Diceros bicornis minor: one gene and its partners. The protein of the gene in region 3 interacts with the protein of the main gene of each other region in a pairwise test. Links are inferred from orthologs where the notes say so. Each region holds a gene or a part of one and is shown on either strand. Other genes may lie near its edges. The genes, in order: TOR1AIP1, SPRED1, PPP1CA and CSRNP1.

Region 1 (7,796 bases), on a different chromosome or scaffold from region 3:
AAAAATGAAACAAAAACAGTATGTTGAAGCAGATTAAGATAACACTTCTGCATCTGCATATAAAGTCTAACAATTAAGCACTACTGATAAAGTAGAGAGCTAGACACTTCCGTGAAGGAAGGAAAAAGGGGTAAACTCTCATTGGGTATGAAATACAATCGGGAATACATATATAATATGTAAGAAAAATGGTAATTGTAGAATCTTACTAAAACTTCAAAACTTTGCCCTTTTTAGCACCACTAAAGCTAAAAAAAAGGGGGGGGGTACTATCTCATAAGGATTAAGATGACCAAAGACGGGATCCTGTCTGGCAGAGGTAAAGGGAAGTAATCACCACCTACAGTGGTAGTCTGATTCCCCGTTTACATTCTGAGCCTTATAGGAATTCTGCTTCCCTTCTCAAAGTCCAAACCAAACATTTATTCCCATCTTAGTGTTAAGGTTTATAAGGTTCTGTTTATCTTTCTTTACTACAAAACAAAAATATACCCCCAATCTGCTCCGCTTAGGGTTTTTGCAGTAGGGAGGTGGGGGTGGGGAGGGATCGTTTCTGAAAGATGTTTCGAAATCAGATATCAGATCAAACATTAAAACATGGAAAGGTTGTATATACATTTTGTTTACTTACAAATCCTAGCGAGGTTTTAAACCGTCCACTGTCAATGTCAGCGGAGCCCTTCGCGTGTTCTTTCTGCCCCACAACCAGAGGCTGCACCCCTCCGACGCGGCGGAACAGAACGTATTCCCTGTGCCTGTCCACGTGACGTGACGGTGACCTCCGGGCGGGGAGGGCCCGCGGAATGCCGGGACTGGTAGTCGCCCGGCCCCTCCTCCTCCTCCCCAGTCGCCCGCACGCACGTCTCTCCACTCCCCCGCAGCCAGCCCCGCCAGAGCAAGAGGCGTGGTGAGCGCGCGCAGCAGAACCACCCGTCCCGGCTCCCGTGCTGCTGTCTGACGGGAAGCAGGCATCTCCGCAGCGCATCGGACGACCCTAACCCTTACAATGATCTAGAATGCATAGGCTGGAAGAACCCATGGAACCAACACAGTGAGAGGCACTACCCAATGATGATGGCAAGCACCAGTCAGACATCACACTTGGAACCCGGCCTCTACCATTACTAGGTGCTTGGCCTCAAACGAGTTGCTTAATCTAAACCTCAGTTTGCTCCTGTCAACTGGGGACAACGCTACGTACCTCATAAGGTGGTTGTGAGGAAATGCGCTAATGTACTTAACGGTGTCTGCTAAATGATAGTAGTAAATGATGAATAAAGAGTAGCTATTATTTTGATCTAGTAATTTCGCAAATGTGAAAACGGAGAGATGGCAAGCAATCTACCCAAGAACACATAATTGGCTAGGGGCAAAGTTAAGTAAATCTAAAACTTCTGTTCCCGACCTACACCAATTCAAGACAATATAGAAGAAATCTACTCAAAATCTCACTTCTCCTTTCCTCATTTTTTTCCGTAACACTTCTGACCAACACACTATTTTACTTATTTTGATTTTTTATCTGACTCCCATAGAATATAAACTCCAAGAAGGCAGGGAGGATTTTTGGCCTTTGGTCTATTCTTTCACTGTTGAATCTCCAGCACCTACAACATGGTCTGACTGTACACAGCAGAAACTCAAATATTTATTGGATAAATGATTCTTCATGTATCAGTGCCTCCACCTCTCAATCATCCTCTTTTGGCAGAAGTCACAGGATTTGGAAACACTCTTAGATGATGTTTAATAATTGACTGCAATTTCTAATTCAACAGAGAATAAGCGGAAGAATATTTATTATATTCCATTCACTTCACTGAGTTTAAATTTTCTTAATTTCAGTATAACATTTCCAGCTACACATTTTCATTCGTATAAAGTCTTTAAAATACTTTTTCTGTCACTTGTGAGAATGGGGAATAAATGGAGCCAACTACTATGTCTTTAATTTACTTCCTCTAATATTTTAATCATCTTTTCCTTATTAAAAATAACAATGTTGCCTCTTTCTACTAAGATAAAACCCCAGTTATTTATTTCCCTATCTGACCAGAAATGTGCATATTATGCACAATAAATTGACAGTGCTTTATCTGTAAATAATTGTATTTCTGCCTACTCTAAACAAAAAACTCATGTACAAAAATTATTACTTTAAAATAAAATGTTTCATTTAAAATAGCTGCTTTATTTAGAAATCCAGTGTCAAGAGTTAGGCCTAACAGCTAGATATATAAATTAACGCATCATTTAATCTAAATTATAATTTGTAGTATATCTCTCCTACCTAATATATGGCAAATTCCCTAATGGTAAAGAATACACTCACTAATTCATATATTTATTAAACATCTTGGTAAAGAATACACTCACTAATTCATATATTTATTAACATCAATGTATTCTTTCTTACAATCATTTCCTTTCTTAACTGTCTTCTCTTTCGATTCACTGAATTCCTCCACGTATCTCAAATTCCCAAGGTAACTGTCTAACATCCAGAGCTCCTCTTAGTATTTTCCTCTTCGTATTAGTGGCTCCGCAATTCCCTTATAATATAGGCTATGAGTCTGTCTCTGCAATGTCACTTCTTTTGGGCCACCCTTGTAGTCTGGAAAACATCTACAGCAGAATATCTGGTTTGATGAGAGTTTAGCTTTACCTCACACTTGTTATTAAAGTTGGTATTTGTAAGGTTGCTAGGTGTGGGAGGCAGGTATGGCAGAGCTAGGATTATGTAGTTTTATTACCTAGACAAAAGACGGAAAATCCTAAGCAAATATACATGTTAATGTTCCAGTTACCGTGCCTCTGATTCTTCTTTAAGATTCTCATGATTCGTTTCTTTGGAAAGTCATTCCTAAGCCTTTACAAGCATTTTTAATTACAAAATAACACATGTACTCATTATTCAATAATACGTAGAACCTCTCATCTTCTCTGATTGTTCAATAATATGCAGAACCTCTTGTCCTTTCTCTCTTTTTTAGTATACCCCAAACTTAAGTTTCACAAGTCTGTATCCAAATTTCTGTTTAGTCATTTGTCCTGGTAAATGTTTTAAAGAGGCTCTTAATATACGCATTAATGTACATAATATGAACTTTGCACATTAATACTATGAGGTTTTATATCCTTTAATAATTACATCTATTACGGAACTTTTACTATTATATGTTAATAATGAGTAATAGAATAGGCACGTTATAGAGAAAGTCTTACTTAAAACATAAGTAAATAAAAGCCAGGTATTACCAAGTATCTATATTCTTCAGCATTTTGTCAGAAAAGTTAATTCTCACAAATTTTCCAAATATACTAACTCAAGCTGACAAAGAAGAATACACTTTTAATTTTCCCTTAAGATAAATGATTAAAAAGAAAAAAAGCATCTCCCTTGTTACTGTTTCTCCAGTTTCTTTGGCTATATTGTATATTGTAAACAAACCTAAACTAAACTAAATCCCTAACAAGCTAAAACCTAGGTGACTCTCTAAAGTATGTAATTCCTTGTGTCTGGGGCCAAATTTATAGACTATTAGTGAAAACACAGTACACCTTAATATTTCATTAAATTGAAATCTGTGCCTAGTTTGAGCAAGAGTCGCTCAAAAACATTAGAAGGGGTTTAAAAGACTTGATAGAATAAACAAATACCTTCAAACTTTACAAAATCATTCATTGTAATTGGTATAAGTTACAAGTTTTTAAATCTATTCACTAAAATCAATTACAGAAAAGTCCTGCAAGACAAGCGTGTATATTTGAAGGTAACATTAATCTTTTTTTCAGTAACTATTCAGACTTTAACTTAACTTTCCCTCGGTGTGTCTAAATTTGGTTAGATATTTGCAGATTATTCACATCTGTAACTATGGTATACGGAGGTGAAACAAACAGTTATCATGCTTTCTTAGTAAACTAAACGCAGGAAACCCTAAATCAAACGCAGTATTTCAAGTCATGCCCAGAATCAAAGTAAAAATAATGGATCACAAGTTAAAAGACAGCGCGGCTTTAAGCAAAGTATTTGCTCATTTCTCACTGCCCGTAACACAGCGCTAACAAGGTTTCCGAAGAGCGCTGCTGGCACAGAGCCTTTATACGAAAGCCAAGAATAAGAGCCTATTTGCTCTGCGTACATTTTGCAAATGGAAATCCACCCGAGTATGCCTGTAGGTACGATTTTGTACACTCGCAACAGGTCACTTAAATTTAAAACTGGATACCTGCCTTCATAAGGAGCTTGAAAATAAAAATTTCTCCAAGAAAAGATATAAGACCTGCAAAAGTATCTTTCTTATCCTCACTCTGCTAGGGACACTTGAAGAGGCATGGCTAAGGAAGCAGTCCATCAAAAAGGTTCCAGGAGAACTGCGCAACAGCCAGGGGGCGAGGACGCAAACTTCTCCTCCGCCCCCGTCTTGCTCGGCCTTTCCCAGACACTCGGCACTGGGCGCCAGGACGGGCGTCTCCTGCTTTCGGGCAACAGTTGCCACGAGCAGCTGGGCTTAGGAGAGGAAATCTGCCCCGTCAGTTGTCCCTTCTCCGTCGTCTCCTCCCTCCCTCCTCCAAGGCCAAGGACAGCGACGTCCTCCTCCCTCTTCTCCTCCTCTTTGGTGCCCTCAGCCAGGAGGCGGGAGTGACCCACAGCAGCTGACCCAGCACAGGCACTGCCTCTCCCACAGCCCTCAGGACACACCATGGGCCCAGAGGCAGGTTTGCAGCACAGCAGCGACGACGCAGGCGGCGGCCCCGGCGACTCTCAACTACCTCCCTGACGGCCGCGACCACCGCCCAACAGCCCCGAAAAGCCAGTGCCATCGACGGCTGGAGAATCTAGGGGCCCCCAAACCATCTTCGCGGTCGACTCAAGCTACGTCAACAACTATGGCGGGCGAGGGGCGGCGGGCGGAGCCGGTGAGGGAAGAATGGGCATGGTACGTCACGCCCAGGGCCCCGCTGCGGGAAAGAAGATGCCGGCTCGCCCCTCAAAATGGCGGCGGCAGTAATGCGCCTGCGTACGGAACTCCGCCGTCGCGCCACGGCCGGCGGGAAGTGAGGTTCTCAGAAGAGCCGCCAGAAGTGTACGGTGACTTCGAGCCCCGGGTGGCCAAAGAAAAGTCCCCGGTGGGAAGACGAATCCCGCTACGAGAGTTCCGGCCCGACTCTGGGAAAGAGGAAGTGAGAGAAAGCGCCTACTACCTTCGGTCTCGGCGGCGGACGCAGCTGCGACGTCTGGAAGCCGAGGAGATGCAGACGCGAAGGGTTACTCGCCTACAGCAGCAGCACTCACTGCAGCCTCCGCTGCAGCCGTCTCCGGTTACGACCAGGAGAGGGATACGGGACTCTCATTCCTCTGAAGGTGAGGCCGGCGGAGGTAACGGTCTCAGCCGAAAGCCAGCGAGCGAGCGGGCACGCGTGGGATGTTGGCGTGCAGCGGGCGGGCGGGCTCCTCCCCGGCACTCATCCCCGCCGGGGCTCCGGGGCTCCCCCGCCCCCTGGACGTGCGCCTTTACGTGGGGTCCGCCCAAGCGCAGGCGGGAAAGAGGCTCGGGCGGGAGGACTGGACAGGCAGTCTTGCGGGGCGGCCTGGGCAGAGCCGCGGAGCTCTGCCCGTCCCGAGGCATCAATTTAGGGGTGTCGGGATTGCCTCGTTCTGCGGGCCTTCACGGGGGACGGCTAGTTAGGCGGGACGCCGAATCACTCCAGGCTCGGTTTCATTGCGGTTTCCTCTCTCTCTTGCGGATGTGTCTACCAAAGCCACTTCCATTTCCTCCTTTAACTCTGAGGCCAGAAGTCCCCAGTTGAGAAGCGTGGTTCTAATGTAACCTTTCCTTCCTTTTCCGTCACTACCCAGGTGGGGGGAGAGGGAGGGGAAATTTTGTGAGTGGGCGTTTGGAGGGATAGCGTGATTGGTGAATTGACTTGAGACCCCACCCAAATACTTACCTGAAACGGGGTAAGTCGTTTATCCTGAACTTGAAGCTCCTCATTGTCTGATAAACTTGAGCTGATCGCTCTCTCTTCAGTGTGGTGGTCTCTGCCAGAAATTCGCCACGTTGGGGGCCCTCAGTGTAACTTCAGTGGTTAAGGAGCTTGACAAAGCACGACTCTAATTAGTTTTCGTCTGAATGGGCCAAAAGGATGCTGACAAGGTATATAGTTTTAGGTAAGTCACAGGTGAATCAACTTCCTTAATCCATCCTCTCCCACCCTGCCTTCCCCCCCCAACACACATAGGTGAAGTTGCATGTTAGCCCCATGTAAGGCACTTATGAGGTAAAAATCAGGGGATTTGAATCACAATGGGATTACATAGTTAGTGGTAGACCGTTGATGGATATGAAGAGGAGGTAGATTTTCAGTTCAGAGTAATGGACTGCACGTTTACCTGCTGACACATTTGAAGATGTGTTGATTTTGGAAACTTTGTGTTAAAGATATGTAAGTTACTATTGGATGTAACAACTCAAGACAGGTTAGCCCATATATATGAGTTTTCTCTCTCTTTTAAGATAAACTTCCTGAAGACAGATCCTGTTATATATATTTGAAGGGCCTTGTTATACTTTAGTAGTTGCCTTAATTCTGTATCTCCTTCAATATCTGGAAGAATGCTTTCCACATAGTAGGCAATAAATATGTGTTACATTGTATTGACTCTCCCACAGAGCCTAGTGCAGTTATACTAGCTAATTTTTTTTTAACACACAAAGGTTTTACCTCAATTTTAGTACGTCTATAAGAATCTAAACGTTTTTCACTCTTCTGCTTTTTCCACATCATTAGTGAAACTCTACCCCATCTTTTAGGCCAGCCCTGGTGGGGTCTAGTGGTTAAGATTTGGTGGCTCTCACCACTGAGGCCCAGGTTCGTTTCTTGGTCTGGGAACCACACCACCAGTCTGTCAGTTGGCACACTGTGGCAGCTGCATGCTGCTGCGATGCTGAAAGCTATGCCACCGATATTTCAAATACCAGCAGGGTCGCCCACGGTGAACAGGTTTCAGCAGAGCTTCCAGACTAAGACTAGGAAGAAGGACCTGAGCACCCACTTTCAAAAAAAATTGGCCATGAAAACCCTATGAATAACAACAGAGCATTGTCTGATACAGCACCGAAGGTGAGAGGATGGCCAAAAAGACTGGGCAGGGTTTTGCTTTGCTGTACACAGGGTCACTAGGAGTCAGAATCGACTCCACAGCACTAACAACAAGAAGCCCATCTTTTAAATTTTCTAAAGTAAATATACTTTTGTTGTAAAACATCAGTGGTGAATAGTTTATTTTTATATTGTCTTAAGAGTGTGTATTTCTGACTAGTTAAATTCTTAAGTTTTGCTAAACCTAATTACACATTTCTAAAGAAATGAATTACTTGTATTTCTGCTTATATATTGCTATTAATATGCATAATCTCTACCTAGATCATATATTCTGAATTTTGACAATTTTCATGTCTATTCTTTAGAGGATGAACCATCTTCAAATACTGTTGTAAGCCAAACAGTCTCAAAGAAAACTATCTGGAGAACACAAGAAACTCCAGGTGAGAAGAGTGATTTTGTTTTTTTCTTTACCTGACAGCTTTTTTTTATGTACAGATTATCGCCAGTTCATCAAGGGTCCCAAATCATACTTCATTCAGAGTTTCAGTGAATCTGCTTCATAGGTTGTTTATGGAATTAAGCAGTACAGGCATGGGTCAAGAAAAGACTGGGCAGATAGTTGAGTATCTACTAATTACCAGCCACTTTGTATGTGTTAGTTCATTCATTCACATAACTATGCA
Region 2 (7,589 bases), on a different chromosome or scaffold from region 3:
ACACCAAAAACTTGCACTCTCAATTTGTCCATGCCAAGTACTACAAAAAGACCCCATTTAGAAACAATATATTTTACACCTGTCAATTCACATTCCCTCATTTGCTTTTCTATTAGCTGCATCCAAAAAGGAGGTATTCAATATTTTACTTTAAATATGGTAACGAATCTTTTCCCATCTCTACAACAGAACTTGACATTTTGATCCAGGCTACTTTCTTTAAAGATACCAGGAAAAACTATCGTCATTCCGTTCAGGATTTTTAGCAGTTTTTCTCCTAACTCAGCGTTATCTGAGATACTTCTTGATCTCTCTCAAAGTAGGTCTAATCTGCGGAAGGCAATGAGACAGTGTACTGCACTGTGAATGGACAGCCAGGTATTTTATGAATGGAGGCAATCACGTGATCCCAGCACCTCCCCGAACTGATATTTCCCACATAACTGTGTCAACATTCTGAGAACAGGGGTAGTTGTTTGTGTGTGCGTATGTTTTTGAATTTAACCTACAACTTCGAATTCTCCTTACTTCCTGAACTCAAAAATCTACATGAAGACAGAGTCAAGCTTCGAATTTTTTTCTTGGGAAATTCTTTCAAGATGTCCAAGGTGATGGATGTTTAATTATTTTTTTATGAATGAAGAGTGTGCTATGCAAATGAGGGCGATTCACAAAAAGAGAGAGAACATGGCGGCCACTTCTGCTTCTAGACTGCACTGACACTGCAGCAATCTACCTTCTCCCACACCCGCTCATGAGAAGAGTGTGTTGGGGGGCGTGGGGGGCGGGCAAGAGAAACGCTACTTGGCATTTCTCAAGCTATTTTATGTTAAATAGGCCTAGGCTTTGGATTTTCAAGTTTTCTCTAAACGGCCAGACTTGAGGAATGCACTTTATTTAAAGGAATGCATCCTAGGACTAGTCCTAACTCACTTAACTCTTTCCAACCCTACCAAGATAAACAAAACTTGAACTTAATTACAAGAAAAAGGATGCTAATATTCTGCACGGAATTAAATCCCATCTCAATAGAAAACTGTTACCGCATCATTATTCCCCCAAGCAGCTGTTACGTTAAAGCAAAACATTTAAAAGGCAAAGTATTTCGTTTGAAAAACATAAGGACAGCCCAAATAAACAAAAGCTTAAACCGGGATGCTCTAGAAGTTAATGAATGAAGTCATCAACTTGTTCAGCAATGTAAATACTGTTATACCAACGTAAATGGTGTGTTTCAATATAGCTGAAGGATAAACATTAGCATTCAAAATTCTTCTATGCTCCTGATAGAGACACGTCCAGTATTCGCGAAGGTAAAATATAATAGTTCGCCATCTCCCACACTCCAGGTGTCTTCAATGCCATTAAATTCTAAAAATGTTTCCCTAGCCCCATTTTTTACAAGAATCTTACAGGTCCTAAGTATAAAAAAGGGGGGAAGGGGTGGAGGCTTAATCGGTATTTAAGAGTCACTGACTCATCGAATTAAGATTCAAGAGCAGTTTGCTGCAGAAGGTGCTCCCACACATTAGTTTCCAAGTGAAATAGCTATAAAGGAAGCAGGACGGATATTCAGGATATGTTGATTGGTATGCTAAGGAGAAAAAGGACAGGCCAGGGGTCTTCCAGGCAAAGGGGTAATTTCCACCCCGCCTCCATCCATCCACACTGCTCCATCTCCTGGACAGACAATTGCCATGCCACCCCAACACTCAACGCCCTCCCCCAGAAGAAAGCAATTAAACGCGGGGGGTGGGGGGTGGGTTTGCTGCCATTAAATAAAATGGCTCAAGAAATGAAATGTTATCTTCACAACAAGATGCACCGAACTCTCCAGGGCTGCAAGCTTTCCGGCACCCAAGTCTCCAGGGGTCTGGGGGAGTGCTGAGGAAAGAAGCGGGGCGGGGGGCTAGCAATCAGGATCAATGAGGCGCTTACTCGTTGTCAGAAGTCGCCGTCTCCTCGCTCATCTTTCCCTCACCGTGATCCGATCTGGAGATGGAGGAGCAACAGCAGACGGAGGAGCAGCAGCAGCACCGGGGGGCAGGAGGCAGTGGCGGCCGGGGGGGCGCGGGGGCAGCGGCTCAGGGGCCTCACCATGGTGGATGCCTCACCCGGAACGGTGCCCCCCCAGCCGGGAACCCCGGCCACCCCCGCAGGGGGGTGGCGGCAACAACCTCCGCCGTGGCGACCCCAGCCTTTTCCCCCGCCTCAGCGCCCAGCCAAGGGATCCGAGGAGGCGAGGAGGGTGGGTGGAAAGCAAAAAAGGCCGGGGGGCTGCGAGGCTGACTGGAGAGCGGCTCCTCCGGCCACTGGGGTGGAGCGCGGCGGGGTCCGGCCAGGAAGGAGCGGGCGGGCGGGCGGAGAACCCGGGAGCAGAGGCGGCGCTTCCCTCAGGGATGCGGCGAGGAGGAAGCAGAGCTCCGCTCGGTGGGGGCCGGCGGGGGGGTGCCGAGCCCAGGCTCCGGGCGGCGGCGGCGCGGTCCTGCCGGAGCCCACCCCACCATCTCCCGCCTCGCCGCCGGCTGCCCGCTCAGCCCCCGGCGGCGACCGGGGCGGTCCTCAGGAACGAGCCGAACCGGCGAGGGGCCTCACGGCGGCGGATTCCTCCAGACACGCTCCAGCCCGGACGAGTCCAGAGCAGGGAGGAGGGGGCGGCGGGGAGCGGGAGGCAGGGGCAGGCGAGCCGACCGCCCCCACCCGGGCCGGAGGAGAGCGGGCGCGCCCGCGGCGCAGGGTGCCGAGAAGCGGCGGGAGAGCGGGCAGAGCGGCCGCAGGACCCCTCCAGCCGTGCCCACCAGCACGGAGCTCGGCGGGCCAGCTCCTCACGCCCGCCAGAGGGGAGCCGCGAGGGGGGCGGCGGAAGCGCTCACGCCGCCCGCTCCTTCCGCCGCCGCCGCCGCTGCCCGAACCGGGGGCGCCCGCGGGAGAAGGCGGCGAAGTAGTCCCTGGCAACTTCTCCCGGACGCCGGCTTCCCCCGGGGCCAGAGCGGGCACGGGGTGGGGTTGCTGAGCGGGGTGCCCGCGCTGTGAGGGCGCGTGGGTAGGAGAACTAAAAGCTGCGGCCTCCGGGCGAATCACTGCAACTCGAAGTCGTGTGCAGCATAGCAAGTTTCAGGAAAGTAGTTCCCTCCTCCCTTCATTTCCCAAATCGTTGTCGAGCCACCGAGCGGGGAGAGGAGGAGGGAGGCGGAGGGATACGCCAGCACCGTGCTCGGTGTGCGTGCGCGCGCTCCAAACTCTTGGCACGCTGCGAAAGGGGGCGGGGGTGTGAGCTGCACGGGGAGCTGCTTGGGAGCTTGCATTGTTGCGGCGCGTTACTCCCCGTTACTCGTTTTAGAATATCCGGGTTGTTTGGACGAAGAGGCTAGAATGACAGTGTGCTCAAGGAGAAAATTGGAGGCTACACTGTTCTGCCGCGCGCGCGCGCGCGTGTGTCTGTGTGTATGTGTGTTTTCCTTGCAGAGCAAAGAATGGAACTGGCATGAGTTCATCTTTAGTTGGTGGGGGTTAGAGGGAGGGACTGTACAAAGAGAGCTCCGCCTGCTGTCCCTCTGGTTGCATTGCTGCAGTCCCCCAGCTGCAGGCACAGCGGGAGTGCGTGTTGGGGTGTGTATGTGTGTGTGTGTGTGTTAGAGAGAGACAGAGTTTTAATACCTTGGATTCTTACTGCACCAGGGGTATGCGGTGCAGGGCATTCATCTCTGAAAGCTAGAGTGGTTGTTAATGGAGAACGACTTCCATTGAAGCCCGGGGTAGGCGTGTTACATGAATCTGGCGCAGCCAGAAGCACAGGAAATAACTCCCGCTGCGAGTGAGGTTGCATAACTATAGCGCAGAAGATGCCTCTGTGGCACGAACTGCTCTAAACGGAGGCGGAACGATTACTGAATAGGCAGCTGTCACGTTTGCATTGTTAGAGGACAACGTATGCATTCATCTCAAAAGGTTTTTGCACAGAAACCTGCTGGGGTTGCGGGCCGGAGTCTGGGGTCTGCCCGACCGGAGGACTCAGCTCCTGGCTCTGTAAATTCTATTATCTTTTCTCTACCTAGAAAGCCAGCCTATACATGATCGGGCCTGGGGGACTGAATCCCAAGTTTCTGACGCATCTCCCTAGGTATCAGTCTAGCTCTGTGCGCAATGCTTTTCTCTTCATTCTCAGGTTTGTGCGTCCTGAGAATGAAGATTGCTGCTCCTGCCACCTTGAGGGATAGAACATTTCCTGAGGAAGAAGAAAGTGCGAGAACCTCTCAAACAAGCCAGCACTCCCCTTCTGCCGTCCGTCTCCTGGAAGTTTCAGGATTGTTCTCGGGAGCGCATACACTAGCACGTTAACAGTGTTTTGCACAAAGGAGGTGCTTAATAAATGTTTGATGAATAAATAAAGGAGCTAAACCAGTCAGTCTGCCCCAAAAACCATCCCGTTGATTTCTGAGGTTTCTTGATTTAACTCTTGCTTCGTGTCTTGCCAGCAGCATTGTCCATACCCAAAGGGAAGAAGGGGCAAAGTTGGTGACAGGAAGAGGTGAGGGGATCTGCAATAGACAGAGGTTACCTCTGTTACCTCTGAACCTGCATTTTTGGTCTTGTTCCTGTGAAGAACCTATAACTGGGAGTGTTGGTACTGGCCTGCTCTCCTTCCATTACTACTGCTAATCACTCTGGCTGCTCAGATTTCAGTCAAGTCCCGTCAGTCATAATTTGTGTGTTCTAGACAAATTACTTAAACTCTGTGCCTTTGTAAAATGGGGATAATAGTACCTAATTCATAAAGCTGATGTGCTGGTTAATGAGGTAATAATATACATGAAGCACTTAGAACAGATTAAGAGCTCAATAAGTCCTAGCTCTTACGATGATTTTGTAAAATGGAGATAGTCAGAAACGCCGCGACAGGGTGGTGGCAGTTGCTCTGAAGGTTTAAATGTAAAGCATTCAGTAGCCTTGTTCATTCAGTCAACAAATAACTAGTGGTTTTCTCCCGTGTACCACTCGTGCTAGACACATGGCCCAGCCCTCAGTAAGTCATTAACAAATGGTCATTCTTAGAGTCATTATGATTAAGTAAGGACAAGGAAAGTTGGGTCACTTGCAAAGGCCTCCTTTTCTTTTGAAAATATTTGCATCAGTTTGAGATTCACATGCATCAGGGAAATGACCCGTTACAGGCTTTGGGAGAAAAGATGAAAACCACCTTGGCTGTCATGTGGAAGACACTGTGCTGGTCACTTTCGCACACATTGCTTACCTAAAGGGGCAAGATATGATCAATACCCCGAATTAATGCTTTTTAGATTGTTCCCAATCCCATGACCCGGACACAGTCACCAAACCATTCCCCATGCCGTTCTCAGGACACCTGTGTGCCCTTCTTAAGGTGCATCTGTAGCTCTCTCATCTCATCCAGTTGTTGAAGATCTTACCAAGTTTGTAAAAAACTGTCTTGGTCTGGCCTGAGCACTGAGTCTTCTACTCTGAAAACATCAGAAATGGTCCTACGATGAGAATCAGAGCCCAGGGGGCTTCTAGTCTGACTTTCTATCAGCAACTGCCCTAAACACAAGAGGCCTCCCCTGGTCTATTCCAGTGTTTGGACCTTAAGAGGTACAAGAGACATAGCAGCCTAATGCAATGTGTGAGATCTTATTTGGATCCTGATTTGAACAAATATTTTAAAATTTGAGATAATTGGGGAAACAAAAACTAATTAGATGTTGATGATAATAAGGAATTTTTTTTAAGTATTGGTGTTGTAGTTGTGTTTTTTAAAGTCCTTATCTTTCAGAAATACATACTGAAATATTTTCTTCAAAATAATCCAGTGGAGTGAGGAGTGGGGGGATGTGGGTAGGGATATAGATGAAACAAGATTGGTTGTGGATTGGTGATAAGCACATTCTCTTTACTATTGTATCTATTTGAAATTTTCCATAATAAAAAGGTTTTTTTAAGTACACGGCAAGTACCCCTTTAATGCAGATTCCTAGGCCCCAGTCCAGAGATTGTGATCAGCAGATCTGTATTGTGCTGACAAACCTACTTTTCCAGAAGTATGCCAGGTACTGAGTCCTTCTAGGCCTTCATAGCCTTCTCCTCCTTTCCTTGCAACCGCTTGTGTCATCCCATCCCCAAACACATCCCTAACTGAAACCTCTGCTCCAGAAGAACATGGAAAAGGGTGGCCCAAGGTATATCATAGGCTAAGGTAGATACTGGTCAAGGCCAGAGGGCTGGTTCAGCTAGGGAAGGTGGATCCAATAAGACTTGAAAAGCTATGTGAGAAGGTACATATAGTTCACAGTTTTACTTTAAGTTTCAACTCCATTCAATTGGTATAGCTACCAATGAGCAGTAGTTGAGAAGGATTCCGTGGCCATGTCAGGGGTCAGGAGGGCAGGAGACACTTGTATTTGCTCGGTTGCGTTTCCTCAGGTAGGTCTGTGAGAAGGAGGCTGGTCACCATAGCTGGTGCTCGCAAGTGGCTCTCAGTACTATTGTCCTCAGCTTTAGGAATGAGCCACAGCCACTTAACAACCTGTTGTAAATGATTAATTATCGAAAGCATCCCTGGGCCAACAGCACAACCGCCAAGTAATAGCCAATATAGGACATCGTCAAAGTTAAGATGGTACCAGTGGGTTCTGGGTTCCAGGTAGGTGTCAGATCAGGGTTCACCAGGACAGCAAAGGTGGCCTGTCCTCGTGGAGGCACTGGCAGATGGCATGTAGCGCTCCAATTCAAGGCTTTCTCCCTCTTTCCAGACCACTCAGTCTGTTGTGACTGTCTTTCTTAGGAACTCAGAATTTGTCTTCTCAAATTCTTTTTGCCTTTATTGTTTTATGCTTATATTGATAATTCTCTCTCTCTCTCTCTTTTTTTTTTTTTTTGCTAATCCACTTTTTATGAGTTTATGTTTATTTTCCCAGTTAAATTTTAAGTGGCGTGAAGGCAGAGGCTGCGTTTCATTTTTTGGTGTTCTCGTCACAGTGGTTTTAAACACTTTTAAGTGAAATGTTTGCTAAGGCCTTGTGTATGTATAAAAATGAAGCTGGATGGACTGACACTGTGATGGAAGTTTGGAGGCCCCTCTGGCTTCCTATTGCAACTGGAAAACTACTGCAGTTCAGCATTTCACATACACCATCCCTTGTACTATTATGCTCTCAGCAGATATCTATATACTTGAAAAGCCCAAAGAGGAGACAGCCATGCCAACATTTGAGGTTCTAACAGTATGTAAAATACATGTACACATTTCCATTTCTAGACTTACTCTTATCATTACCCCTTAGCAGATGTTATTACAATTTTGTATTTTGAAACTGTAGTTAATATGTGCCTAGATCAAAGGGGACTCTATTTTCATGCTGTACTTTGTTTAATGAATGAGCTTTCTTTTTTTTTTTTTTTTTTTTTTTTTAGTGTAACCAGTCTCTTGGCTAATGAGCTCTGCCTCTCAGGGAATTACTAAATGGTAACCATGTTTCTAAATAGTTTCCTTGCCTCTGGCATGAGTCTGTTTCTCCATCACTAGGGTTTCCATGTTCTTCCAAACTAATGCAAAGTATAAAGGATAAGTATGCTAT
Region 3 (7,444 bases):
AAAAAAGAAAAATACACCAAGGCTCCGCGTTCCCCATAATGGGTAGGCCTGGGGAGCCAGTGTGACGCCCCACGGCTGTGTGATTTCTGTACAATCCACCATCTGGGGCAGAGGGCGGGCACACCGAGGCTATTTCTTGGCTTTGGCGGAGTTGCGGGGTGGGGTGATGGGCCGGCCTCCAGGGTTCAGGCTACTGAACTGCCCGTATTTCCCCTTGTTCTTGTCGGCGGGCTTGAGGATCTAAGAGAGACAAAGCTGGTCAGCTCACGGGGCCACGCCAGGGACCACCAGCCCCTTCCTCCCCAGCCCCACCTGGAAGGAGCACATGAGCGTCTCGTCCACACTCATCATGGCGCCTGCGTTGTCAAACTCGCCACAGTAGTTGGGAGCTGAGAAAAGTGTCACCAGCTGCCGCTTGGCAAAGAACTCATAGCCATCTTCTACCACCTGGAGGAGGATGGGGGCGGTTAGTTCAGCAGGTGCTGGCTGCCCAGGCCCCGTTCCCACCGGCCCAGAGCTGCCAGCCCACCTGATGCGCCCGGCAGATGAGGTCCAGATCGTGCTTGTGCAGGAACTTGGCCACCACCTCAGCCCCGAATGTAAAGGAGACACCACGGTCGTTCTCGCCCCAGCCTTGCACGTCCTTGTCAGGGTCGGACCACAGCAGGTCACAGAGCAGCCCCTGGTCAGGCACATCCGTGGGCCGCATGATACGCCGGATCTGCTCCATCGACTGCAGGTCGGGGGACAGGCCTGGGGGGTGCAGAGCATAGGACGCTTCCTCAAATAAGCCTCAAAACAAGGACCCCCTCCTCCAGACAGCATGTGCAGTCAGCCTCTGCCTCCCCCGTACCACCTGGCTGTCTCCTGGGAGCCCAGGCAGGCAGAACTCATCACCTGCCTCTTCAAGTCCCTGCCCTCAGGGAGCACACAGCTCCCTGGAGAAAGGAGACAAGTGAATTCCATGCTGGATGCTGAGGCCACAACAGGGGAGCGAGTGCGGCCTAACACTGGGGTGCAGGGGGACTTCCTGGAAGAAGGGATATGCGAGCCCAGACGCCAGGGAGACCTGTTCCAGGCACTCTCTTCATCCCAAGGCCCCCAGGGATGTGGCCAGGCTCCTCCTCCCCAAGCATTCCCTCAGCAGGTACCCCAGAGCCGCCCTCACCTCCATGGCAGCAGAAGATCTTCTCATCCACAATGGCAGCGATGGGCAGGCAGTTGAAGCAGTCGGTGAAGGTTTTCCACAGTTTAATGTTGTAGCGCCTCTTGCCTGCCCAGAGTAAGGAGATGGCTCATGAGGAGGCCTGTCTGCCTGACCCTCAGCCTGGGTCTCTGGGCCCTCCCAGGCACTTCGTGGGCTGTTCAGACACAGCTGGGAGAAGAGAGTGGAAGGCAAGAAGGGAAACCTCCAACCCCACCCCACTGCCTACCAGCCTTCTAAGAGGAATTCTAAAGCAGCTGAGTGCACAGGAACCTAGAGTTCCAATCTGGAACAACCTCAGGTTTGGCACCCACCCCGTGAGCAGGAGCAGGGCCAGGCCAAGACCAGGTCTGGTTTATCTCAGCTTCTGGCCCACAGAGTCCAGTCCAGATAGGCATCCTATGTGCTTAAGTAACGGATGTGCCGGAGGGAGTGTTAGCAGGCAGGGCCCTGCATGAAAATATGGTCAGCTCTTCAGTCAGCAACCATTCACCAGACCCCTCCCGAGTGCCAGGCCCCAGGCCAGGAGGGCAGGGCCCTGCCTTCACGGAGCTCGCAGTCCAGCAGGTGTCTGTCAGACACTGATATCCCTACCACCAGGACAATGTGAGGGCCCCACTGGATAGCGGGGAGAGCTCTTCAGGACTTGGGCAGCCCCAGACACCCAGCCCACTCACACTCATCATAGAAGCCATAGATGCGGTTGATGCTGGCACACTCGTGGTTCCCACGGAGCAGGAAGAAGTTCTCGGGGTACTTGATCTTATAGGCCAGCAGCAGGCAGATGGTCTCCAAAGACTGCTTGCCCCGGTCCACATAGTCCCCCAGGAAGAGGTAGTTGCTCTCTGGAGGGAAGCCACCATACTCGAACAGCCGCAGAAGGTCGTAGTACTGGCCGTGGATGTCACCTGTGACCCAGGGAACCGGGGTCAGCACTAGGTGCAGGGTAGAGACTTGAATCCAGGGCCAGGGTTGGGCTCAAGAAAAGGGATCCAGGGACTCTAGGGGCCAATGCCACTTGCAGGAAGCAAAGGAGCCTGGGCACGGGGCTCACCACAGATCTTGAGGGGCGCCTCCAGCTCCAGAAGAATTGGCTGGCTCAGGAAAATCTCCCGGGATTTGAGGCACAGACCACGGATCTCGTTCTCCGTCAGCTGTACATTCTTTCCAGGTCGTGAGCCCTGCACTGGGGGCGGAATGGGGCGTCAGGACCCTGGCCCCTCAGGCAGGAGGAGGGTGGGCGACACGGGTGGCCCCAGGAGCACTTCTGGAGGCTCCCAGGCCCCTCCTTGCCCAGGGGCAGCTGTTGCTGCTGAGCCTCCCGGGACGGGACCCCAACTACCCTCAAGTCACTCGAGGGGGCTGCTGTGCGCAGGGGCCTGCCACCCAAACCCCATAGCGCAGGACCCCTCCCTGGGGGGCTGGGCTTCTCACGTTTCACCCTCGCCCCAAGAGCCCCAGCCACCCCGTGCGCCCCTGGCCCAGAAGAGGGGGCTGCTCCCCGTGCCGGAGCGGCCCCAGACCTCCTAGGCGCGTCGCCAGTGGGGGGGCGGCCGCGGCCCTCGCGGCCCGTCCCCGCCCAGTCTAAGCTGGCCCTGGGAGCGGCAGGCCCGCCCGCGCGCCACTTCCGGGCCGGGCAGGGGGCCAGGGCGCGGCGGGCGCCGACCTCCCCCGCCCCGGCCAACCTTCCAGCAGGCGCCCGATGATAGAGTCCAGGTTGAGCTTCTCGCTGTCGGACATGGCGGCGCCGCCGCTCCGGCCCAGCAGCTCCGGGCCAGCTCCTGCCTCCCGCCCTCCCGCTGCCTCCTTCCGGCCTGGAGCTCCTTCCGCCATCCCGGCCCGCCCCGGCCCGCCGCCCCGCCTCCTCGGCCGCCCGCCCCGCCCGTCCTATGACCGAGGCCCCGCCCCGCCCCGCCCCGCCCCGCCCCGCCCGCTGCCCCAGCGCTCTAGCGCCTCCGCAGGACGCCAAGCGCAGCAGCCCGGGAGGCGGGGCCTCGGCTGTGGGCGGGGCTTGGGCCGGGCTCGGCGTCTCTGGGGCGGGGCCTGGTAGGTGGGCGGGGCCTTGTGGGGCAGGGTGGAGTCTGGCTCCGCCCCTGAGGATCACCCAGGCCCCTAGAGAGGATATGGGGCCGGAAGTACTGTGGAAGTTGTTTTTATCTTTCAAAAGCTAAACAGTCCTTCCCACCCCTACTCTGGGCGAGGGGGCGGTGTGAGCACAATGATAACGGTCTCCCCGAACGCTGCAGATTAAGTCCTCGAAGTGCAGAAAAGGAAACAGCTTCAGATATAGCGAGGGGCTGGTCCAAGACCGGGGCCTCGCATTCACCGAGGACCTCTACCTCGTGAGTCTCTTTGGCCCCCAGGCGCTGAGCAGACCCAGGCAGCTGCCGCAGCACTGCGAGCCCATTTTGGTCCACACTGCCTGTGGTGCACACTAATTATTACTTTTTATAAGTCCCATCATTGCCTTCTGAGTAGCATAATGATGCTGCATTGTGTGTGTGTTAAAAGTATTACTTCGTAAAGAATAAACATTAAAGAAACCATAATTCTTTTTTTGTGTGAGGAAGATCAGCCCTGAGCTAACATCCAATACCAATCCTCCTGTTTTTGCTGAGGAAGATTGGCCCTGGGCTAACACTAACATCCGTGCCCATCTTTCTCTACTTTATATGGGACGCCACCACAGCATGGCTTGACAAGCAGTGTGTGGGTGCACGCCCTGATCCTAACCTGCGAACCCCGGCCGCCGGAGTGGAGTGCGCGGACTTAACCGCTACGCCACAGGACCGGCCCCAAAACCATAATTCTTATTGGAACCCTGATTTGAGTGTTTTACATGGCAGTAACCTCAAAAGTGGAGGTGGCCTGGTCTCTCTGCCTCTTGCAGGCCTTGGCCCCATCACACGCAGCACAGAAACCCAAGCCTGCAGCCACCCAGCCCATGGGGAGGGTGGGAGGAGCCCATGGCCCAGGGGCACTGGGGCAGGCCGGAAGAGCCTCGGAGAGGAAGGGGTGACACCCCCTCTACACCCTTGGGAGGGGCCCCCCAGTGGGTTGCTGAAGCTGTGGCTGAGGAGGAAGTGAGAGGAGGAGGTGAGGTGCTACCGGGAGGTAAGCTGGGCTGGTGAGGACAGGGGCTGGGCCTGGGGCTATTTCCTGTACAGAGGCCTGGACTTTCTGCCACTTTAGGGCCCAGCCCCCCGCAACAGAAGAGGGGACAGAGGGGGCTTGGTGAAATACCCTGAAATCTCCCCCCTCTGATGCTGCAGCCAGGCCCTGGGGCTGGGACCTGGCTGGATGGGAGCCCAGGCCCCAGGCTGGCTGGGAGCTACCTCTCACACTGGCTCTCCCCACGTCTTGCAGCCTGTGGCATCCGGGGGCACCATGGCCCAGGCCCTGGGGGAGGACCTGGTGCAGCCTTGCGAGCTGCAGGATGACTCCAGTTCTTTGGGGTCTGACTCAGAGCTGAGTGGGCCCGGCCCATACCGCCAGGCTGACCGCTATGGCTTCATCGGGGGCAGCTCGGCAGAGCCAGGGTAAGTGGGGCAGGAATGGGGTGCTGGGGTGCTGGGATTGAGGATGAGGGCTGAGGGCTGAATTCTAGAGTGAGGCCCAACCTCAAGGGTCCTGGAAGGATCTAGGAACTTAGCCAGTGCCACCCCTCCTCAGGCTCCAGGTGGAATCCCAAGGGTGGCAGGACTGTGGGTAGGGTGTCCCTGTATACTGTGGGTAGGGTGTCCCTGTATATCTCTTTTACCGCCAGCCTCTGAGGGTGTGCACCCACCCTTAGGGCTGACCCTTCCCCTTTTAATCTCTGGCCCAGGAATCCCAGATCCAAATCATAGAACCTCTTCTCCCACCCTCACCCTTTCCCAATATACAGACAGGAAAACAAGTCCAGAGACAGACAGGAACTTGCCCAAGGTCACACAGCAGATCAGAGCCAGAACCAGACTCAAACTCGGGGCTTCTGGCTTCTAGTCCGGGGCTCTGTCCACCCAGCTTCCCCTGTGAGTTGTCTGTGTCCCTATCATGCGGGACAGCCAACCAGCCCCTCCCCCAACACACACCTACACACCCCCTTCAGTCTTTCCTGTTTCTGCCCACATGGGAGCCACTTTCTTTCCTGTCCCCATGACAACTACTGGCAACTCTTGGGTGACAGATCACCCTGCAGGGGTCCCCAGAGATCTCCAGGGCCAGGACCTGGGCTAACCCAAGTACCATAGAGGGTGGCAGATATGGGCTCTAGGTAACAGCTACCCAGCACCTGGATGCCTGTACCATGTGCCCCCAGACCAAGTCACCCTCCTGCAGACCTTATCCGCCAGCGGGAAATGAAGTGGGTGGAGATGACCTCACACTGGGAGAAAACCATGTCTCGGCGATACAAGAAGGTGAGGGGAGAGTGGCCCCACGCAGGCCTCCTCGGCTCATTCCCCTTTGCCTCGGCCCCTGCCCCAGCAAAATTTACCCATCCTGTGTCCCAGCACCTCCTGCCTTTTCTCCCTACCACCCAAAGTGGGCCCCTGCCCAATGACAAGTTGTGCTTGGGGCCTGCCAACACGGCCCGGTGAGGCTGGCCTGGCTGGCCTAATGGGGCCCCTTGGCCTCACCCACAGGTAAAGATGCAGTGCCGGAAAGGCATCCCCTCAGCCCTGCGGGCCCGCTGCTGGCCCCTGTTGTGTGGGGCCCATGTGTGTCAGAAGAACAGCCCTGGCACCTATCAGGTAAGGGGGGTGGCAGGGGTCCTGCCTCCCCTTCCCAGAGCCCCTCGCCGCTCTGAGCCCTCACACTCATCTTCCTGCCCACCCACAGGAACTGGCTGAGGCCCCTGGAGACCCACAGTGGATGGAGACCATAGGCAGGGACTTGCACCGCCAGTTCCCTCTGCACGAGATGTTTGTGTCACCCCAGGGTCACGGGTACGAAGCCAGTGATGCTCAGGGACCCCCAGCCCCACAACCCCCAGGCACGTCGGCCTAGTCCCCCACCCCTTTATAGCCTTGCATCTCAGGGGACCCAGCAAGGCGCAGGGGGCTGAGGCCTGGGCAGAGGCCGCCAGAGGGTGGGAAGGGCTGCCCAGAGGACTGGCCCCAAATGGGTCTTCTGGCACAGGCAGCAGGGGCTCCTGCAAGTGCTCAAGGCCTACACCCTGTATCGGCCTGAACAGGGCTACTGCCAGGCCCAGGGCCCTGTGGCGGCTGTGCTGCTCATGCATCTGCCCCCGGAGGTGAGTGCCCTTGACCCTGCTCCAGAGACCTGAGACACTGAACCCTCAGCCCCAGTGGGACCCAGTGATCCATGACCCCCAACCCCAGGGACTCTGACTTCAGGGAGCTAAGACCCTTGATCCCCAATCCTAGGGACCTGGGGACCCTGTAATCCTGTGCCCTGGGCCCATGACCTCCAACCCCAGGAACTCTGGCCTCAGGGACCTGGGATCCTTGACTCCCAGATCCTGTCCCAGTGACCTGGGGCCTCATGACCACCAACCTCAGTGTTCTTCAAGCCCAACCACCTTGACTCCAGGAACCTGGGACCCTTGACCCCTACCCTTACCCCAGTGATCTAGGAGTCTGGCATTATCACCTTCACCTCGTGACTCCCGATTCTGAACCCTGTGATCCCTGACCCTAATAACCCCAGGAGCCAGGATTTGAACTTTGAGACCCTCCCAACCCTTGACCAGTGAACCCCAACCCTGTGACCCTCAAATTCAACACCCTGAGCCCTGTGATTTCCAACCCCTTAAACCCATCGGTAGGCCTCTGTCTGGGCACGGGGGAGGCATTTGGTAAGAGCCCCCCCTGCAGTAAGTCCATGCTCCTGGCTCCAGAGTCACCCCAGATGGTGTCTAGGCCCTCCCCTCTGCCCCTTTCCCTTGCCCTGCAGTCCCCTCGTGTGGGCACTCACAGCCTGTGCCCTGCCCCCAGGAGGCCTTCTGGTGCCTGGTACAGATCTGCGAGGTCTACCTCCCCGGCTACTATGGGCCTCACATGGTGAGAGGCTGGGATGGGACCAAGGGTACAGGAGGAGGGGCTGGGAAGGCGGGTGGGGGCCCGGGACAGAGGGGACAGAGCCTGAGGTTTGGGAGTGGAGGTGCTGACGGACTGGCCGCAGGAGGCCGTGCAGCTGGACGCTGAGGTGTTCACGGCCCTGTTGCGGCGGCTGCTCCCACGTGTGCACAAGCACCTGCAGCAGGTGGGCGTCGGGCCCCTGCTCTACCTGCCCGAG
Region 4 (7,528 bases), on a different chromosome or scaffold from region 3:
GGAAAAACAGCCTAGGCAGCCCAGAGAGCACAGACACACCCCTCCCCCACCCATCCCTCTGAAAGTGATCCTGGGGGAGGGGACAGTTCCTCAGCCTTGGCCTCCAGGGCCTGGCACTGGGTAGGTGCCAAATGTTTGCTGGCTATGTGAGGCAATTGCTTCTGCAGAAGGGAAATTGCACCTGACAGTGACTGCTTCCTGCACCTAAGCAAGGCCTCCTTCACTCTCATCATTCATTCATTCATTCATTCATTCATTCAACAAATACTTATCGAGCTCCTATGTCATGCCAAGCACTGTGTCAGGCACTTGGACACACAGGGAGCAAGTCAGACACTGGTGCTGCCCCCTTGAGCTTTGAGTTTAGTGGGAAGGAGTATAATCAGAGTTACAAACCAGTGTTGAGTACTGGGATGGAGGGTGGGAGGGGTGGGGCAGGAGGGGTACAGCTGGCAGTGAAGACAGGTCTCTCGGAGGAAGGGAAGTAGGAAGAGTTCCAGAGAGGGGGCAGAGCAGTGTAAGGGATTTGAGCTGAGAGAGGCAGAGTAGTGAGGGGGGAGGGGAGGCCTGAGAGGGGGCTGCAGGACGCCAGGGGTGACAGGGCAGGCTTTAGCCTGAGGGCACAGGAAGCCACAGAGGGTTTAAGTAGGGAGTGACAATAACAGATTTGCATTTTAAAAAGATGGCTCAGCAAGGGGACTGGAGGGGGTGGGAAGGGGTGTGACCGGTTGGACCGCACCGCCAGAGCTAGGTGAGAGATGACAGGACAAGGGCAAATGAGAAAGGGGAATGGACTTGGTGACTTCTGGATGTGGAGACCGATGAGGGCAGTGATGTCAAGGATTTGGTGGTGAGGTGATGAGTTCCGTTCCAGAGAACTATGAGACATCTGAGTGGAGGTGTCGGGTGGGCAGCGGGCCCAGGAGGGACCCTCTTGTGTCAGGAGTGTGCGCTACGTGTGATTGTGCCAGGGAGCAGGAGTGACTAAGTGTGTGAGGGCTGCTGTCGTGTGGGCATCTCAACAGCCTACGGAAGAGCCCCCGGGGAGGGGAAACTGAGGACCAGGAGGAAGTACGTGCCGGGGAGGGGAGCAGCGCGTGGGAGAGAGCCTACGTGTGCCCGCGGGTGGCCCGGGTAGCTGCGCTCGTGACTCACAGCGGTGGCCTCTGCGTGTGACGGTGACTGACAAACAGGTGAGCGTACGACACAATCCCTCCCTCCCTCCCGGGGTCCGTGACTCACGGAGCTTCACTCCTCGCTCATCCCTCCTCTCCCTCCCTGACCCCTGCCTTGCCGGGGGCGCCAGACACGCGCCACAGCCCCGGCACCCGCCCCCGGGGGGAGCCCGAGGAGGAAGGCGACAAATGTCACCTGCTCCGGCCACGCGAGGAACTTCTGAAAAGTTCTCAGACAACTGGGTCAAAACGAAACTCACCCGCGGACGCGCGCACCCCGTCACCCCGCCGCCCGCGCGCAACCTCGGCTCGGCCGCCCCCCACCCCGAGCTCGGGGCCGTGACTTCTCGGGGGGACCGGCGGCGAGGCGGGGGAGGGGAGCGGAAAACCTGTGACTCTCGCCTCCCGGGCTCCCAGCCCCGGACTCCGGCAACGGCGCTCAGGCTGTGGCCAGGCTGGGTTGTCCCCGTCCCCGCGCCCGCGCAGGGGGACGACGGACAAATGGCAGGGGCTGGAGGGGCAGTGCCACCCGCGCAGGACGTCCCCTCCCCAAGGTCCCATCCAGCCGCGCCCGGAGCCCCTCAGCACTCACCTGCGATCCTGGCGCTCACCAACGACACCGACGCGACTCGCGTCCCGCCCGGGGACGTCCCCCGCGCCGCACCCCTGCGTTCGTTCGGCCGGGCAGCCGTCGGCCCAGCCGCCCCGAGCTCTGCGCGTCCGGAGCGGCGGCGGCGGCGGCGGGAGACTGGCTGCGCCCGGCCCCGCCCGCCGCTCCGCCCCCCTCGTCAGTGGAAAACTCCGGGGCTCACGGCGCTGACGCACGCCGGGCCTCCCGCCAGGCCGCCCGGCAGCCCCGCCCCGGAGGCGCCGCCTCCTCCCCCGCCCGGAGCCGGGCGCCGCGGCCGCGGGGCCTCCCTACGGACTCTGACCCCGCGACGGCGCCTCGACCGCTCTCCGCCCTCGGCCCTCCGCCGCCCTCCCCCGTCCCCTCTCCTGCACTTTCATCAAGTCGCCGACGCTGCTAGCCAGCAGAGCAGGGCCGTAAAGATCCCGACCTAACCCCAAGACCCCCGTTTGCAGATGGGTAGACTGAGGCTCGGAACAGCGCAGAGCGTCCTGAAGGCCACCGGGCGAGAAGGTGGCAGTGCCGCGGCCGCCTACACGCCCTCACCCCCACCCCGTCCCAGGCAGTTTACTATAATACAATCTACAAGTTCCCTCCTCCGCGCCCTCCCTACCACCCACCCCCAGAGCCGCCTGAAAAATAAACTATGACTGGAGAAGAACCTGGGGTGGGGGATGGGGGTGAAGGCAGGGGGGAGGGGGAGGAGGTCATCTGTGGGCCTGACCTTCACCTCTGCCCACCGGCCAGAGACCCTGCAGAAGCCCTGAGCTAGGAGTTCTTGGAACCAGCTTCCCGCCACCCCCACCCCACCCCATCCGTCTCTTAAAAAAAAAAAAAAAAAAAGGCTGGTTTCTTCCGAGCCAGACCCTGGCCACTTAAGATGGCCCACTGCCTTCTCTGCTCCCGCCAAGGCCTTTCCTGACTAGGGGCCAACTCTCCCTGTATTACGGCGCAGGGGAAAGTGTGCAAACCCTGCAGCGAGTCCTGGCCCAGGAACCCACCCTCCGCCCTTCCTCCCAACGCTGGTCCAGTCCTACCCACCACGTGTCCCTGGAACGTTTCTATCCTCACACCTTTGCTGCAGCCGTTGCTCTGGCCTGGAATCCCTTCCTGCCCTCTCGCTGCTTACCAGAATCCCATCGCCTGGAAGGACTCCGCTTGCACTGCCTCCTCCAGGGAGCCTTCGTGGGAGCCTGACCCTCCCCCTCCCAGTCCAGCTCCCGCTGCATTCTGGGTTCTTCCCTGACTGTCCTAGATGAGTGCTGTCAGTGACTAGCCCAGCCCTCTGGATTCCTTTCCACCTTCCTCCAGGTGGGGGTGGGGGTGACCTGTCCTGCCTGGATGGCGCCTGGAGTGGAGAAGATGGTGAGGGCCCTTTTTCGGCCACAGGTGTGTGTGTAGAGGGGCCAGTAGGGGTCTGCCTGCCCTTTGTCTTTCCAGGTAAGAACAGTGGAAGGAAAGCAGATTGGGGGAAGCTGCATCCCCTGTCCTTTCTGGATGCCTTGAATGTGTGGACCTGGGGGGGCTGTCAGGGAGAGGTGTCTGGACAGCTGGAGCCAAGCCTCCAGTGACTTCCCAGTGCCCTAGGATGAAGTCTCAACTCCGTGGGGCCTACAAAGCCAGAGTAATCAGGCCCTTGCCCACCTTTGCAGCCTCGCCTCTCTCTCTGCATGTTCCCATCCCACCTTCCCTTCCCTGCTCCTCCATTTTAATGTCTTTAATGTGTGTATGTCTCTTTATTTGTACATTGTACATGTGACGTTGGTGCAGCATATGTAGTTTTAATTTACACGCGAGGTATTCTGTTCTATATCTCTTTAAGTTTCTTCCAGCCTGACCTCTACACTCCCACCCTACGTCCTTGATAACTACACTCCAGCCTGTTTGCCAGCAGTCAGTTCTTGGGGGTGTGTCCTGCTCATCCTGGTTCAAACTTCCGAAGATGCTGATCTCCAGCCTGCACCTGCCTTGCACCCACTTAGTCGTATGGTTTACTAGTGCATTTCCTTGTGTGTTGTCTGTGAGCAGTGGGAGGGCAGGGGCTGTGTCTGACAGTCCTTAGTGCTTGGTAAGAACTTGTTGAATAAATTAAATGTACCTAGTAAATGTGTACAGGGAGCTGGGGCTCAAGGAGAGGGCAGGGCTGGAAGTGGAGATGGAAGGGTCATCCGCTACAGCGGATACACTGAAGCCATAGGCGTGGCTGAGACAGCTCAGGAGGCTACAGAGCTGGATGTCAGTTGCTAGAGGTGACTCAGCCCTTAAGGCTATGATGGCGGGTGGCCACCCACCCACCACCCCCTCAGACACTCAGCTGTGCTCTCCCTGTGGTGGCTGGTTGCAGACCTTGCTGGTCCAAAGGAATTCTTTCTTCCACTGCCTCCTTCCTACCTCTCATCCTCTGGCCAGGTCCCCAGGGGAAAGGGGGGTCTCTGTGACCTAGAGTGGAGTTCTAGTTTACTTTCTCTCTCTCTCTTTCTCCTTCAGTCTTCCAATTGGAAAAGTAGGGGCATTGGACCAGAGAACCTCACCGGCTTCAACATTTCTTGAGTTACCTTCTAGAAGATGCTGCCTGCTGATCAGGGAACTGGGCAGAATTGAGCACTAGAGTTGATGAGGGTCTCTCAGGCTGCCTAGATTTGCGTCCTGCTGGGCTGTGTATTGGGGAAAGCAGACAGGACAGAGAGCGGGGCCGGGAGTTGGTAAGAGCTGGAGTGGAGGCTTAGAGCAGGGAGCCCAGTGGGTGATGGGATTTGGGGGGCAGGAAGAGAAGGAGAGAATAAAAGGGAAAATATAGGATAATAAAAAGAATCAAATAAGTGATGTGATTTCTCCAGAAAAGCATCTCCCTGTCCTGGGATGGGCTCACCAGATGTTCCCCAGATGTTGCTGGTGATGGGAAACATCTCCCTCTGGGATCCCAACTAAGCTCTTTCTGTTGGTGGGGAAATGAAGGGTCTGTTCCAAGGCAAGGAGGGTGGGGTCTGGAGCAGCCTCCATCTGTGACTTGGGCACATACATAGGCAGAAACACACCCACACATCCTCAGGGAATTTCTGAATGCTTAAGAGAATCCAACGAGTTTCTCAAACATTCAGCATCCATGGACCACCCATTTTAGGTAAATAAAAGATAGTTTTAAATAAATATTTTTAAAAATTACAAATTGTTGATGCATTCCCATCAGAAAGACTAAAATTAAAAGGACAAATTAAAAAAGTACCAAATGTGGCAAGATTAAGAATTAACCAGATTTATCATACATTGTGGGTGGGAGGGTAAACTGATACAATCAGTTTGGAAAATAATTGGGCAGTACCTACTAAGGCCAAACACAGATAAACTCTATGATCTTGTAATTCTACTCTTCAATATATACCCAAGAGAAACAAGGTACTTATGTCCACCAAAAGATATATGAATGTTATAGCAGCTTCACTCATAACAGCTTAAAACTGGAAACAACCTCAAATGTCCCAAAGGTGACTAGAAACAAATTGTGATTTATCATATAATGGAATATTGCACAGCAATGAAAAAGAACAAGTGATTGCCTCATGCAATGACAGGGCTGAATCTTAAAAACATTATATTGAGTAAAAGAAGCCAAAGACAAAAGAAGAATAACTATAATTCCATTTATTTATATGAAGTTTAAAAACAGGCAGAACTTAATCACAGTGATGGATAACATTATCTTTGGGAATATTGACTGGGAAAGGCCACAAGAGGGCCTTCTGGGGTGCTGGAGATGTTCTATATCTTGATCTGAGCAGTGGTTGGACAGGCACATACGTATGTAAAAATACGAATTCTACACTTAAGATTTGTTCACTTCACCTTATGGAGGTTTTACCTTGATAAAAGGAGGTGGGAGGGGATGACGATCGTAGTGCCTTAATTGTGAAAGGGTTGCTGTTGTTTTCAGCCTTCCCAGTAAGTCTATGTCCTGGCCAATGAGGGATACCTGGGGCTCATAGGTCAGGTTCAACTGTTTAGGTTTCTCTCCATCTAAATTAGTGTAACGGGTAAGAATTTTATTCCATCGTGATTCCTAGGTGCAAGGAAGTTTTTATTTTTTGCATCTAAGAGCTTTATAGTTTTAGCTCTTATATTTAGGACTTTGATCCGTTTGGAGTTAATTTTTGTATATGGTCTAAGGTCAGAGTCCAAATTCATTATTTTGCATGTGAAAATCCAGTTTCCCCAGCACCACTTGTTGAAAAGATGTTATTTAAAATCAAATCAAAGCAGCTGATTCCCCAGGAGAACTTCAACCTCAGTCAGCAGGGATACTCTCCCATGTGCCCCCTCCAAGGCTTATCTGAGGAATGGGGATGCTTTCCCCTGTCCAGGATGGCCCAGCTCTCTGATTTTCAGTCCGTGTTGTCTGCTCACAGGTAATAAGGCCCTATCCAAGCCTATGGATTCACTGAGAGTAGGTGGTGGGCTCTGCTATTTCTGAGCCACCCTTCATTGTGAAGAGGAAAGGAAGGAGTCTCTAGTGAGGCTGGGAGCAGGGACTAAGGTCTTCTTAGGAGGCTCAAACATCCATCTCTGGACAACACCACCCCGCAATCTCCTCCTCTCCCCAGTCCTGGGGAGAGTCCTGCTCCTCTCCACCTTGCCTCTTCCTCCTTGCCCTCAAAGGAACTCACCTCTCCAGGCCCCCATCTCTCCCCCTGCCCTAGTCCCTGCAACAGGCTAAAGATGTGGCTCCCAGATGAGCAGCATCAGAATCACCTGAGAACTTGTTAGAAATGCAGATTCTTGGGACCTTCCCAGACCCACTGAATCAGAAACTGGGAGTGGGGCCCAGCAACCTGTGTTCTAACCAGCCCTTCACTGATTCTGGTGCACATCAAAGTTTGACACCCAGTGAGCTAAGGCCTTGGAAAGCAAAACCCAGGAAAGAGGACTGTTTTCAGGCACATTTCTTGAACCTTCTCATTTATGTAAACTGAAAGACATTTGAGTGTAGATCTGTGGATTAAAAATCTGAGCAGTTGAGTTCTGGGTCAAAGGGTTTTGACAGATGTTACCAAATCACCCTCCCAAGAGTTGCACCAATTTCACTTTCAGCCAATGGTATCTGAGCAGGCCTATTTCCCAACACCTTCCCTGGCAATGGGTATCATCAAACTTATTGATCTCTGCCACTCTGATAGGAGAAACAAAGAAGAGATCTTACTGTTTTAATTGGCATTTCTCTAATCATGAGTGAAGCTGAGACTTTTGTAAGCCATTTGTGTTTCTCTCTAAACTGCTGGTTTACATTCTTTACTGATTTTGTATTGGGTTGTTTTAAGTCTTGGAGGATTAAGGAGATGAACCCTTCTGTCTGTCACACATGTTGCACTTACTCCCGGTTTGTTTTTTACCTTAGTTTATAGTGTATTTTACCAGACAGAAGTTTTAAATTTTTACATAGTCAAAGTTCTTAAACATTTACTCTAGGAATCCTGCGTTTTGTGTGCTGCATTACCTAACATGATATTACGCATAAATTCACCTATTCTTTTCTCCAGAGTTTTATGGTCTGATTTTTAATGTATAAATCCTTTATCCATTTGGAATTTATTTTGACTTAAGGAATGGACTAGAGTTCCCACTTTGTTTTTGCCCCCAAATGATTAGTTAATTTTCTTATCATCTTTCTCTTCTAATTTTAAGGTCACCTTAAATGGAAATTGAATTCTCATGTGTACTGGGGTCTGTTTCTGGT

The links.
Region 1: the proteins of PPP1CA (region 3) and TOR1AIP1 interact in a two-hybrid assay, tested with the Homo sapiens proteins (2 studies listed by BioGRID and IntAct). The link is inferred for Diceros bicornis minor from reciprocal best matches to the Homo sapiens genes PPP1CA and TOR1AIP1.
Region 2: the proteins of PPP1CA (region 3) and SPRED1 interact in binary tests that used the Homo sapiens proteins (3 or more experiments, as listed by UniProt). The link is inferred for Diceros bicornis minor from reciprocal best matches to the Homo sapiens genes PPP1CA and SPRED1.
Region 4: the proteins of PPP1CA (region 3) and CSRNP1 interact in binary tests that used the Homo sapiens proteins (3 or more experiments, as listed by UniProt). The link is inferred for Diceros bicornis minor from reciprocal best matches to the Homo sapiens genes PPP1CA and CSRNP1.

The regions. Positions count from the first base shown.
Region 1 is NC_080743.1:87,166,045-87,173,840, reverse strand, and holds the start of TOR1AIP1 (torsin-1A-interacting protein 1), read left to right. Parts: upstream 1-4,786; 5' UTR 4,787-4,893; coding exon 4,894-5,368; intron 5,369-7,475; coding exon 7,476-7,553; intron 7,554-7,796. UniProt on the Homo sapiens protein: Required for nuclear membrane integrity. Induces TOR1A and TOR1B ATPase activity and is required for their location on the nuclear membrane. Binds to A- and B-type lamins. Possible role in membrane attachment and assembly of the nuclear lamina.
Region 2 is NC_080744.1:36,357,230-36,364,818, reverse strand, and holds the start of SPRED1 (sprouty-related, EVH1 domain-containing protein 1), read right to left. Parts: upstream 3,013-7,589; 5' UTR 1,971-3,012; coding exon 1,939-1,970; intron 1-1,938. UniProt on the Homo sapiens protein: Tyrosine kinase substrate that inhibits growth-factor-mediated activation of MAP kinase. Negatively regulates hematopoiesis of bone marrow.
Region 3 is NC_080770.1:6,127,534-6,134,977, reverse strand, and holds the start of PPP1CA (serine/threonine-protein phosphatase PP1-alpha catalytic subunit), read right to left. Parts: upstream 3,014-7,444; 5' UTR 2,945-3,013; coding exon 2,890-2,944; intron 2,391-2,889; coding exon 2,259-2,390; intron 2,113-2,258; coding exon 1,882-2,112; intron 1,274-1,881; coding exon 1,169-1,273; intron 754-1,168; coding exon 530-753; intron 448-529; coding exon 313-447; intron 241-312; coding exon 130-240; 3' UTR 1-129. Other genes in the region: TBC1D10C (carabin), read left to right, coding at 4,505-4,743, 5,505-5,604, 5,830-5,937, 6,026-6,132, 6,326-6,440, 7,144-7,209, 7,331-7,444. UniProt on the Homo sapiens protein: Protein phosphatase that associates with over 200 regulatory proteins to form highly specific holoenzymes which dephosphorylate hundreds of biological targets.
Region 4 is NC_080741.1:41,917,556-41,925,083, forward strand, and holds the start of CSRNP1 (cysteine/serine-rich nuclear protein 1), read right to left. Parts: upstream 3,007-7,528; 5' UTR 2,944-3,006; coding exon 2,933-2,943; intron 2,923-2,932; exon of another isoform or gene 2,877-2,922; intron 1,883-2,876; exon of another isoform or gene 1,768-1,882; intron 791-1,767; exon of another isoform or gene 1-790. UniProt on the Homo sapiens protein: Binds to the consensus sequence 5'-AGAGTG-3' and has transcriptional activator activity. May have a tumor-suppressor function. May play a role in apoptosis.